Arabidopsis thaliana: one gene and its partner. The protein of the gene in region 1 interacts with the protein of each later gene in a pairwise test. Each region holds a gene or a part of one and is shown on either strand. Other genes may lie near its edges.

The links.
Region 2: the proteins of maMYB (region 1) and NAC069 interact in a two-hybrid assay, tested with the Arabidopsis thaliana proteins (one large-scale study listed by BioGRID).

What each region holds. Positions count from the first base shown.
Region 1 is NC_003076.8:18,403,389-18,408,546, forward strand, and holds maMYB (Duplicated homeodomain-like superfamily protein), read right to left. Parts: upstream 3,288-5,158; 5' UTR 3,210-3,287; coding exon 2,280-3,209; 3' UTR 2,274-2,279; intron 1,631-2,273; exon of another isoform or gene 1,028-1,630; 3' UTR 627-1,027; downstream 1-626.
Region 2 is NC_003075.7:673,085-678,465, reverse strand, and holds NAC069 (NAC domain containing protein 69), read left to right. Parts: upstream 1-2,020; 5' UTR 2,021-2,240; coding exon 2,241-2,394; exon of another isoform or gene 2,395-2,474; coding exon 2,475-2,746; intron 2,747-3,252; coding exon 3,253-3,393; intron 3,394-3,467; coding exon 3,468-3,839; intron 3,840-3,919; coding exon 3,920-4,105; intron 4,106-4,192; coding exon 4,193-4,441; 3' UTR 4,442-4,604; downstream 4,605-5,381. Other genes in the region: MEE49 (Ribosomal RNA processing Brix domain protein), read left to right, coding at 1-70, 159-228, 308-390, 471-550, 632-730, 819-888, 964-1,053, 1,162-1,200. UniProt on the Arabidopsis thaliana protein: Transcription activator activated by proteolytic cleavage through regulated intramembrane proteolysis (RIP). Involved in salt stress response during seed germination and seedling growth.

The DNA of each region.
Region 1 (5,158 bases):
AAAAATCGAAATCAACATTCGAATCAAACCGAAAACAAGCTTTGAGCTTCATTTTCTGAAAATTTTAGGATTCGGCAAAAAAAAAAAACCAAAAAAAAAAAATTACCCTAAACTTAAACGTACTATGAATCAAATTCCGCCATGAAACCCTAAACTCGAATGGAAAATAGAGATCCCGCAACAATTTCGTATGAAAAACTCAGCAGAAAATCTGCATCGCAAGATCTATTTTGTTATAGAATGAAAAAATTGAATCATGTGAAACCTAGAGAAGAGATCTTTTTCGAATACATGCCAGTTTTATGAAGAATCGATATGATAAATCAGAAAAAAACAAAGAGAGAATCAATCACCTGAGAATTTTCGCCGGCAAATGAATTGCAGAGTAGCTTAGACTTTTGATAAAACGTGTGGTGAACACAGACGTGCTTTGAGTTTCTATTGAGAGTTACCGGTTTAGTCGGTAAACCCGTGAAACTCTTTTTTATAAAACCGGTGATTTCCGGTTTAGTTGACTCTGTAATGTAGCACGTGGTTGTGTTCGGTGGAGAAACTGAACCACGAAGACTATTTGGTGTTGGATAATAATGGATCGCATGCCGTTTATCGTCACTAATTATCTGATCCAACGGTTGAGATTTAGTGGGGTAGCTTTTGCGGTTGTTGTTGAAGACTTGTAGTGATAAAAATGTTAAGAATATTATATGAAAATTCTAGTTTGGAATTTTGGATTAAGAATATATATAGTCTTTTTATATATTTCCCTAGTAATAAAATAGGTGCTCTTTGGGGAGGGGATACACAGATGCTCAAGTCTTGTAATTCGAATCAAAGCTTGAAGTAAAGAAGAACTCATAACTTTATGTTAAATTCTTTGGCATATTGAGATGCTTTCTTTTCTTCTCTCTAAAAGAAACTTCCTGCAGAACTCTATTCACTACTTTGGGCGTTGTAGCAATAATCTCAAGCAGCAAACACAAAATTGTTTTTCCTCTCCTGGTATTTGCCTTAATCCCGTACAGATGTCCTGCGTCAAAAGGTTTATGTCAGTAAAAGATTGTGTAAACATAAATTAGAGCAGTTTTAGACTATTTTGACTCGATTCTGTAAATGTCAACTTGTGAGTATAGCTCTATTTGATCACATACTTGAGCATACATTTGGTTTCTTTTGCACATCTCAAAGGACTACCAAAATAAGATAGAAAATCATGAAATGCAGACATATTACTTTCCCTAAGATCGAATCTAACATGACAGAGGACTCCAAGATTTTATAGTAGTTTGTGAACCGATCATTCAGCAACAGGGGGAAATTTATACCAATTAAACTCTACTAGGGATAGACACCATTACCAGTATTATAAACCTAAACCAGTTCTATGTCAAGTTGACGCCATCTTTCTCCTAGCCAAACATGCCTTTTTCATTATTCTGTTCAAAGCATTGCATTACCAAATTTGACCAGCAACTAGCAAATATAAAAGACAGCAAAGAAGCTGCAGGAAACTAGCATAAAGCATTCATGAAAACCGATGGGGTTTGACATGACATATAAGAAACATGGAAAATATGCCTCAAGAGTCTTTCCCCTAGCTGTTCTCAAACGAGACCTCTCAGCAACTAGCAACCTAATTCATAAGTAACTTATAAAACATCAGCTAAAGAATATGTTATCAGCATTTCATCAACATAATCTTTCCATATTAAATTTATAATGCTCCGTACTAAGCTTAACAAACCAATTAAAGTATGCCTTTGGGCTTTGGCATTATTCTGTTCAACCATTTCATTCCATTCTAAACTTGAGAAACATGGAAAACACAGTGGCTCAGCACACTTTTACCAACGATTAATCATAGAACCATTCATGGATCAAAAAGCAAGCCACCCCAACATCAAGAACATGAGCCAGGACTCTATAAGTAGGATAACTAGAGTTACAACTTAGAAGCTTACTCTAACTGTTTTCAAAAGATCTCCTTCTCAATTCTAGACAGTAATTTTTTTACCTATAATGTTATGCGACCTAATTCATAAGTAACCTATAAAACATCAGCATAAGAATACATTGTCAGCATTTCATCAACTCAATCTCTCCAGATTAAAAATCAACATCTTCAGTGTAACTCACACTAATGGAGATATCAACAAGCCTAGGAAGCTTATACAGCAAAGTTGTAGCAACTACAATGGAATAAGGCTCTTGTGGCATGTTTATTACCTTAATAAAGAGTATCTTTTTCAATCAAAAGACTCTAGTTTATCAATTACCTCTAGTTAATTAGCTGGAGTTTTCGAGCTCCGAAACCCTTTTTTAAGCTCAGTAACTCTCTTCATACAAGCTGCTTTCGACTTCCCAGGTACTGCAGCTGCAATCTTCTCCCATCTCATAGCTGCCTCCTTAGGAAAAGCTTTTAAAGCATTGAGCAATGCAATGTCTTCTCCATTACTCCAAATCTCCTTAGTACCTTCCGCATCTCCACCAGCTCCAGAATTCTCTTCGTTTTCATCAACCAATCTAGGATCTGAAGCTTTCCTATTCTTTAAAAACTGAGCGTAATCATCACTCTCATAGATTTTCTTCTCACCTATCTCTTTCGCCTTCTTAATCACATTCTCTGTCTTGTATCTTCCTCCGAACGCTGAAGCCACCGTCTCCCATCTCCCAGGTTTACCAGCTGGATGCTTAATCAACTGCTTCTTCAAAATCTCGATCTCTTCAGCAGTCCAATCTTTAGTTTCATTCACAGATCCACTCTCCTTAGACTGCGGAATCACCACTTTCCTCGAAACTTCAGTCACCGCAGAAGCATTTTCCGGCGGATTATCGCTCTTCGTCGAACCTTTAGATCGCTTATTCACCGATTTCCTCCTGGATTCACGTTCGTTATCCGTGGATGACTCATCGTGAATCTGTTCTGGCTCCAAGATCTGACCATAACCGACGCGAATCTTACCTCCGGTGAGCGAGCTAGGAGCGAAAGGACCGACGAGGAAAGAGAGGGAAAGCCATAATAGTAGCGATTTGGCAGGTTCAGATTCGAAGTAGAAGAAGGAGAGAGATAATATGATGAGGGAGATTGAGACGGAGATTGAAATGAAAAGCTTGTTAGGGATTCTAGCTTCTTCTTCTTCCTCCGCCGTGTGAGAAGAAGAAGGACGAGATTGGAAAACGAATCTAGGCCTGTCTTCGTCGAAAAAATCCATTGTTGCTCTGTTGCACTGTAGAAGAAGCTGAAACAATAAATAAAACTTAGAAAAAAAAATCTCAGAAATAAGTGTTTTTGGGCTTTTGAAAGTCCATATACGAAGATTTTTGGGTATTGTAAAGCCCATATATATTAAAATTTAGCATATGACAAAATTGGTTATACGAATTTTAATTAGTTAATTTTAGAGTAAGCAAACCCTTAATTAATTAAATTTTAGTGGAAAGCGTGTACACTCGAGATCGCAGATAGAGATAGTAGGACTCAGAGAAGATTGTGCCACTAATCATGCTCTTGAGCCTTTCTGTTCAACAACGAAGCAATTGCAGAGAAATCACACGTTTGTGTACGACATTTTTTTTTTTTAACGTCGATTTATTGGTTAGTTTTATATTGCAACTATATTATAAAATGAAAATATTGTTGACGGAAAAATGGAAATTTTAGGAGCCAGAAAAAAGGGAAGGAAACAATAATTCACTATTACGAAAATATATAAACTTGTACGAAAAGTCAAGGAAACCATTTATCACCTGTTACAACTTGGAATGGAAAGCGGAGAATATATTAGGCAAAGGCTAGAGAAGTTAAATAAAGGATAAAAGCTTACGGTTCAGATTGGAGATGACGGCATTTATGAAATATCGACGGTTTATCTGTGGATAATTACTGTAGGTTGAGATGCAGGAGATTCGAGCTTAGCACCAACAGACACTACCATAATAAATAGCTTAATAATATATTCCTTTTTAGCTGAGATATTATAAAGTAGGGTTTAATTTGTTATTATCACGAGAACCACACAAATACGCGGCAAAGAGAGAGAAAGATAGAGAGAGAGAGAGAGAGAGAGAGAGAAAGCGGTGGAGTCGTGATAAGGGAGAAGCTCTGGATACAGTCTCTTCCCGTCGTCGGAGACGGAGTTTATGCCTATTGGCTCCTGAGGTAAAATCGAGATCGCCTTTTTTTATTTTGTTTCTCGTGTTTTGACTGATGCGCTTTTGATTCTCTCTTCGTTTGTTTGCTTTGAGTATATTTTTATTATTGGAGTCGCGTTTCTGAGAACTTTGGATTTGAACGTATACGGATTGGTTTTTTTATTGAATTTTAGGGTTACGCTTTTTTGTGGGTTTTTTTTTTTTTTTATGTTATCGTTTCGGTTTGTGAATTTCTTCGTTCATTCAGATCTGAGATAAATTGAGTCTATGGTTGGTTGGTTTTTATGGTAAAACTTCAGCAGAGTTGAAATTAGGTACTAGAATTTTAGATATGATGATAGTTTCTCAGAGATTATGAATTGGGATCTTTCTGTACCTCTTTGCAGTTTGGTTTCTTAGGGTTTTGACCTTCGCCAGTATTGGATTTGGATTTCATTGTTAATATGCCTTTGTGTAAGACATGTTCTAGATAACATTATTTGTACGATACCTTGAATTGCCTGTTTTCGTTGCATTTCTAATGTCTTTATATACTGCTTTTGTGCTCATTATCAGGTTAGATTAAGCTTCGTATTTAGTGGATTTTCTTCTTTTGAGATATGGAACAAGATTACATCTGCTCAGGGTGCTACCAGTATCGAGTTTTTTCATTGCAAGAAGCACTCGATTGGCGGTTTCTTGTGCACTCAGATTTCCTTATCGGCTCTTTCGTGAACTGCACCTAGTGGTCAGACCTTCTGCGATCTTTACGGAAGGTGTGATGCAAATTTCTGATTCAGGTATGGGTTTCTGAATAAATCTGTTGACACTTGCATCGTAGCTTTCACAAGATACTTTGAATAGATGATATTCCTCAGTGTAAGAATTGTTATTTTGGTTTCTGACATATTTTGGTTTCTGTGTGGTAAAGGTAGAATTTATTTTCAGTATCTAAATAAGCAAATATTGGATTTATCAATTTTCTCTAAGCCTTTTTAGAGTATGAACGCAATATGCAAATTTAGAAAAA
Region 2 (5,381 bases), on another chromosome or scaffold:
AATATCTGAGTTGCTTTCGGTGATACCAAACTCTCATTATCAAAAGAGAGGAACCTATGATTTGAAGAAGGTGTTGTTATAAGTTTCATAGCTTCCTTGTTTCTCTATAAAGTTAGTCTTTTTGCAACTATATAACCTTGTTAGATATGGTTCTGCAGATTGTAGAATACGCAACGAAGAAAGATTTTACATCTCTTATTGTTGTTCATACAAATCGTAGAGAACCTGGTTAGTTTTCACTGAGTTTCAAGTTTTGTGCTCTCTACTGTATATGCTTTGTTTCAAGCTTTTGCTATTTCATATGTAGATGCGCTTCTTATCATCGGTTTGCCAAATGGTCCTACTGCTCATTTCAAATTGTCAAATCTTGTTCTAAGGAAGGATATTAAGGTATGTAAGCTAACCATTACTCTTCTCTACATCGAGTGTAGATTAGTGATCACTGAATTGGATGTTAAATGTAACTGCAGAATCACGGAAATCCTACAAGCCATCAACCAGAACTGGTTTTGAATAACTTTACAACGCGTTTAGGGAATCGTGTTGGGAGGTATAGTTTTCATAGTGTTGTTGACTTGGTTTTATGGTCTCTTTGAATTTCTTGCTGATGTTAGATTTTTCCTTTTTTCAGATTTTTTCAATCACTCTTCCCTCCGGATCCTAATTTCCGTGGTAGGAGAGTTGTAACATTCCACAACCAGCGTGACTTTATATTTTTCAGACATCACCGGTACATAACTTCACCTTTTCTTCTTCGAGTTGCTTTTGCTCCATTCTCCAATAAAACTTTTTATTGAACAAATTTCAACACTATCCAGTTACATATTTGAGACAAAGGAAAGCAAGAGTGATAAAGGAAAAGAAGAGACAATAAAACCTCGTCTTCAGGTCAGTTTTGACCATGTTGAATCAAAAAGTAATCAACATTATCAATGTTTGTATCATTAAACTTTGGATTTTTAGGAATGCGGTCCTCGATTCACGCTTAAGCTAGTTACTCTACAGCATGGAACTTTTGACACCAAAGGTGGAGAATTTGAATGGGTTCATAAGGTAAAATCACCAGAAATGGACACGAGCAGCTTCATTGCTGTTCTTTAGAGTTTTTGATGATTTTTAATTTTATTTTCTGATGTGTTTTTTTTTTGTATTTCATTACAGCCTGAAATGGACACGAGCAGGAGAAGGTTCTTCTTATAAATTCTGCTGTCTTCCGAGTTTCACCAAGTTTTGTGTTTATTTTGCATTTTCGAATTTTCCCTACCTCCGTCCAAAATTGTATGTCTTTAAAACTTCTCATTTCTTTTTTCAATATAGCCATGAGCCATCGAAACAATCGTAAGAGTACTTGTTTCAACAATATAGGCCCTCGTTTTTTACTAAGCTATATATAGTTGGTTAAACTTATGATTGTTTGGTTTGGTATATATCGACATCGAGCATTTGAATCTACAGCAGTAATATTGGATTTTGTTTAGTAGTTAAGTGGACCTTTATGTTGCATAATTAATAGTTTTACGATCATCAGTTCATCACCATAATAATAGGATTAGATTTGAGGATGTGAATGGTTACGGTGGTTGAGACGGATAAATCCGTTTGCGAATTAGACCGTTTTTGATTTACCATTTATAAATTAGAGTATGTAAGATTATAGATTAAGAAAAATAAAAGAAAATCGTCGCGGATCAATTATAGACCGTTTTTACCGCCGTAAGCATTCAAATCCTGAACATCTCTAATGATAATGTAATAGGATTGACAAAAACAAATCTAAAAATTAATTACGATTATTTAGGTGTAGTATAGAACGTAATTACGTATATGTATGTTACTATGTTGTCAATTATGTCGGCTATAATATTCCAGAAAGATCCTTCGGAAAGGAAAAAAAAAAACTGAAACTTCGGTTCGAAGTTCAAACAATTTTTCTTACTGCCACGTGTTACTTCATACACAATTAAAATATTTTTTTGTCCCTCTCATTTGTCAACGTTTAGGGGAAAAACATTAATATACTTTTACTGCATTCCGCCACAAATATCTTTCTTTCTTTTTTTATGGTTCTTCTTCACCCCAACTGTATTAGTACTGTTCGTCTTTCAGAAAAAACAATAATAGATAGAGGAAAAAAGAAAGAAACAGAGAAGTGAGAAAAAGCCCTTAAAACTCAAACACTAAAAAATTTTCAGTGTCGATTCAAAAAGTTTTGTTATTTGATCTGTTTCTGTGTAAAAAAAATGGTGAAAGATCTGGTTGGGTATAGATTTTATCCAACGGGAGAGGAATTGATAAACCATTATCTAAAGAACAAAATTTTGGGTAAGACTTGGCTCGTCGACGAAGCCATTAGCGAGATCAACATCTGTAGTTACGACCCAATTTACTTGCCTTGTAAGTTTCCTCACTTCAAAATCATCATCGTTGTCTCATCATCGGTCATTTCTAATTCTGGATTTGTTTGGTTGTTGTAGCTTTATCGAAGATAAAATCGGATGATCCTGTGTGGTACTTCTTCTGTCCAAAGGAGTATACTTCTGCGAAGAAGAAGGTAACGAAGAGGACTACAAGTTCAGGGTATTGGAAAGCTACTGGTGTTGATAGGAAAATCAAAGATAAGAGAGGTAATCGCGGCGAGATTGGGATAAAGAAGACGCTTGTGTATTATGAAGGTAGAGTTCCTAAAGGTGTTTGGACTCCTTGGGTTATGCATGAGTATCACATCACTTGTTTGCCTCAAGATCAGGTATAATAAACTCAGAGTTTCTTGAATTTGAGCTTCTGTGTTAGTTTGACTTAGCGTTATGTTTCTGTTAGTTGATCTTCTTGAATTGGATTTGGGTTTGATTCATCTGTCCCTGTGTTGGTTGCTATCTTTATCCCAATTTGAGGTTAAAGTCATGTTCTTGTAAGAATAGATTTGGGTTTGACTTATCTTTTCCCTATGATGCTTAGTACATCAAGTTTAGGTTCTGTGTATCAGAGTTTGAAGTGTTATATATAGAAGTTGTGGCCTAGAAGGCTAGTGTATTTGCTTCCCTGTGTTGAATATATTACTGTAATCTCCCCTGTGTTGGTTGCTATCATTAGTACGTTCTGTGTTGTCACAGAGTTTTAAGCGCTATGTATAGAAGTTGTAACCTAGTGTTCTTACTTCTGCCAAAGCTTGTGATTGTTTGAGTTATGTGTGTTTGATTTTTTGTTTTGTTGGCAAAGAACTTATGTGTGTGTGTACTTTTGGAATTTGTTCAGAGGAACTATGTTATCTGCCAAGTGATGTATAAGGGTGAAGATGGAGACGTCCCATCTGGTGGTAACAACTCGAGTGAGCCGAGTCAATCTTTGGTCTCTGATTCGAATACTGTCAGAGCTACGAGTCCCACAGCGCTTGAGGTGACTCCAGTTTCTTTATTTGATAATCTCATGTACTTGATTCGTTTACTCAAAACTCTCTTTTACATTTTCAGTTTGAGAAGCCAGGTCAAGAAAATTTCTTTGGTATGTCTGTGGATGATTTGGGGACTCCAAAGAATGAACAAGAAGATTTCTCTTTGTGGGATGTACTGGATCCAGACATGTTATTCAGTGACAATAACAATCCTACTGTGCATCCACAAGCTCCTCACTTAACCCCGAATGATGATGAGTTTCTCGGTGGATTGAGGCATGTTAACCGAGAGCAGGTTGAATATTTGTTTGCCAATGAAGATTTCATATCCAGACCAACCTTATCTATGACCGAGAACCGCAACGATCACAGGCCAAAGAAGGCTTTGTCAGGGATTATTGTTGATTATAGCAGTGATAGTAATAGTGATGCTGAATCGATATCTGCAACGGTAAAGCAAATCACCCGTTTTCTTTATCGTTACTTCTGTGCTGTAATCTCCATTCTCACATTTTGATTATATTATGTCAGAGTTACCAAGGAACATCAAGTCCAGGTGATGATAGTGTTGGTAGTTCGAATAGACAATTTCTCCAGACTGGTGGAGATGAGATTCTATCGTCTTGCAATGATCTACAAACCTATGGAGAACCTTCCATCAGTAGTAGCACCCGGCAATCTCAACTCACACGAAGCATCATACGACCAAAACAAGAGGTTTTGCGTTGCTCTTATGTTGATTCTATATGATTTCAACATATGTTGGATATATAAAGATAATGATTATGTAACTTTCCTTCACAGGTGAAACAAGATACATCAAGAGCGGTTGATAGTGATACATCCATAGACAAGGAGTCATCTATGGTGAAGACAGAGAAGAAGAGCTGGTTTATTACAGAGGAAGCAATGGAGAGAAACCGCAACAATCCACGGTATATCTATCTCATGAGAATGATCATAGGCTTCATTCTCTTGCTGGCTCTCATTAGCAACATCATATCGGTGTTACAAAACTTGAACCCGGCGATGAAGTTTGATCGCGAGAGATAGACAAAAGCTAGCAGATTGATCAAAGCACTCGTTTTTACTTTGCTTTTATTTATTTCTATTTTCTTCCGAAATTTTGATGTATATATGTGTGTGTATGTATGACCAAGAGGTATGTCTTGTACCTAAAGTTAAATAAAATTTAGGGTTTGAAAATTTTATAACATTTAGAGCGGGTCCATAGTTCAGTGCCGTGGTGGAGCATTAGACTGCTGATAAAGAAAACATTCGACAGAGACCAGTGAATGGTTTGAAAGGTTTCTCAAAGATTTGGTTTGTTGATAATTAAGAGAATGATTACATACCGGACAAGGGACTGGTCTAATGTGATTGATACTTCGATGATCAATCAATCAAATATTACTTCGATGATCAATCAATCAATCAATCATATTACTTACAACTATGTAATATGATTCTATGAACCTTTTTCTTGTTTTTTGTAAACTTTAATCCCTTATCTTGCAAGCCAAATCCATAGACATATATTTTACAAAATTAGTAGTAGTACTATATTGAAGTAGAGAAAGTAATAACGCCATGTCGTCGTCGTCGATGGTGGCGGCTATAATTTCCGAAAGATCCTTCGACTCAAAATACACAAAAAAAACAAGGAAAAGAGAAAGGTTCATACTTTCGTTCGAAGCTCCGACAATGAACCGTCAATAATTTGCCACGTCTTCATTCTCATTCACAATAAAAATAAATTTTGTTCCTCTCATTTGTCAACCTTTTTTGTTTTTGTTTAAAGAATTTGTCAACCTATTGGAAAACATTTTGCATTCAATTAAAATCTTATCGCTAACAGTTTTTTGTTTTTTGTTTTTTTTTCAACTATCTTATTTATTAACAGTAGTAAATTTGTTATAAAATACATAATATTACATTTCTTCCAATACATAATTGATATCTAAATATCCGATCGTTGTAAATTTGGAGTTTC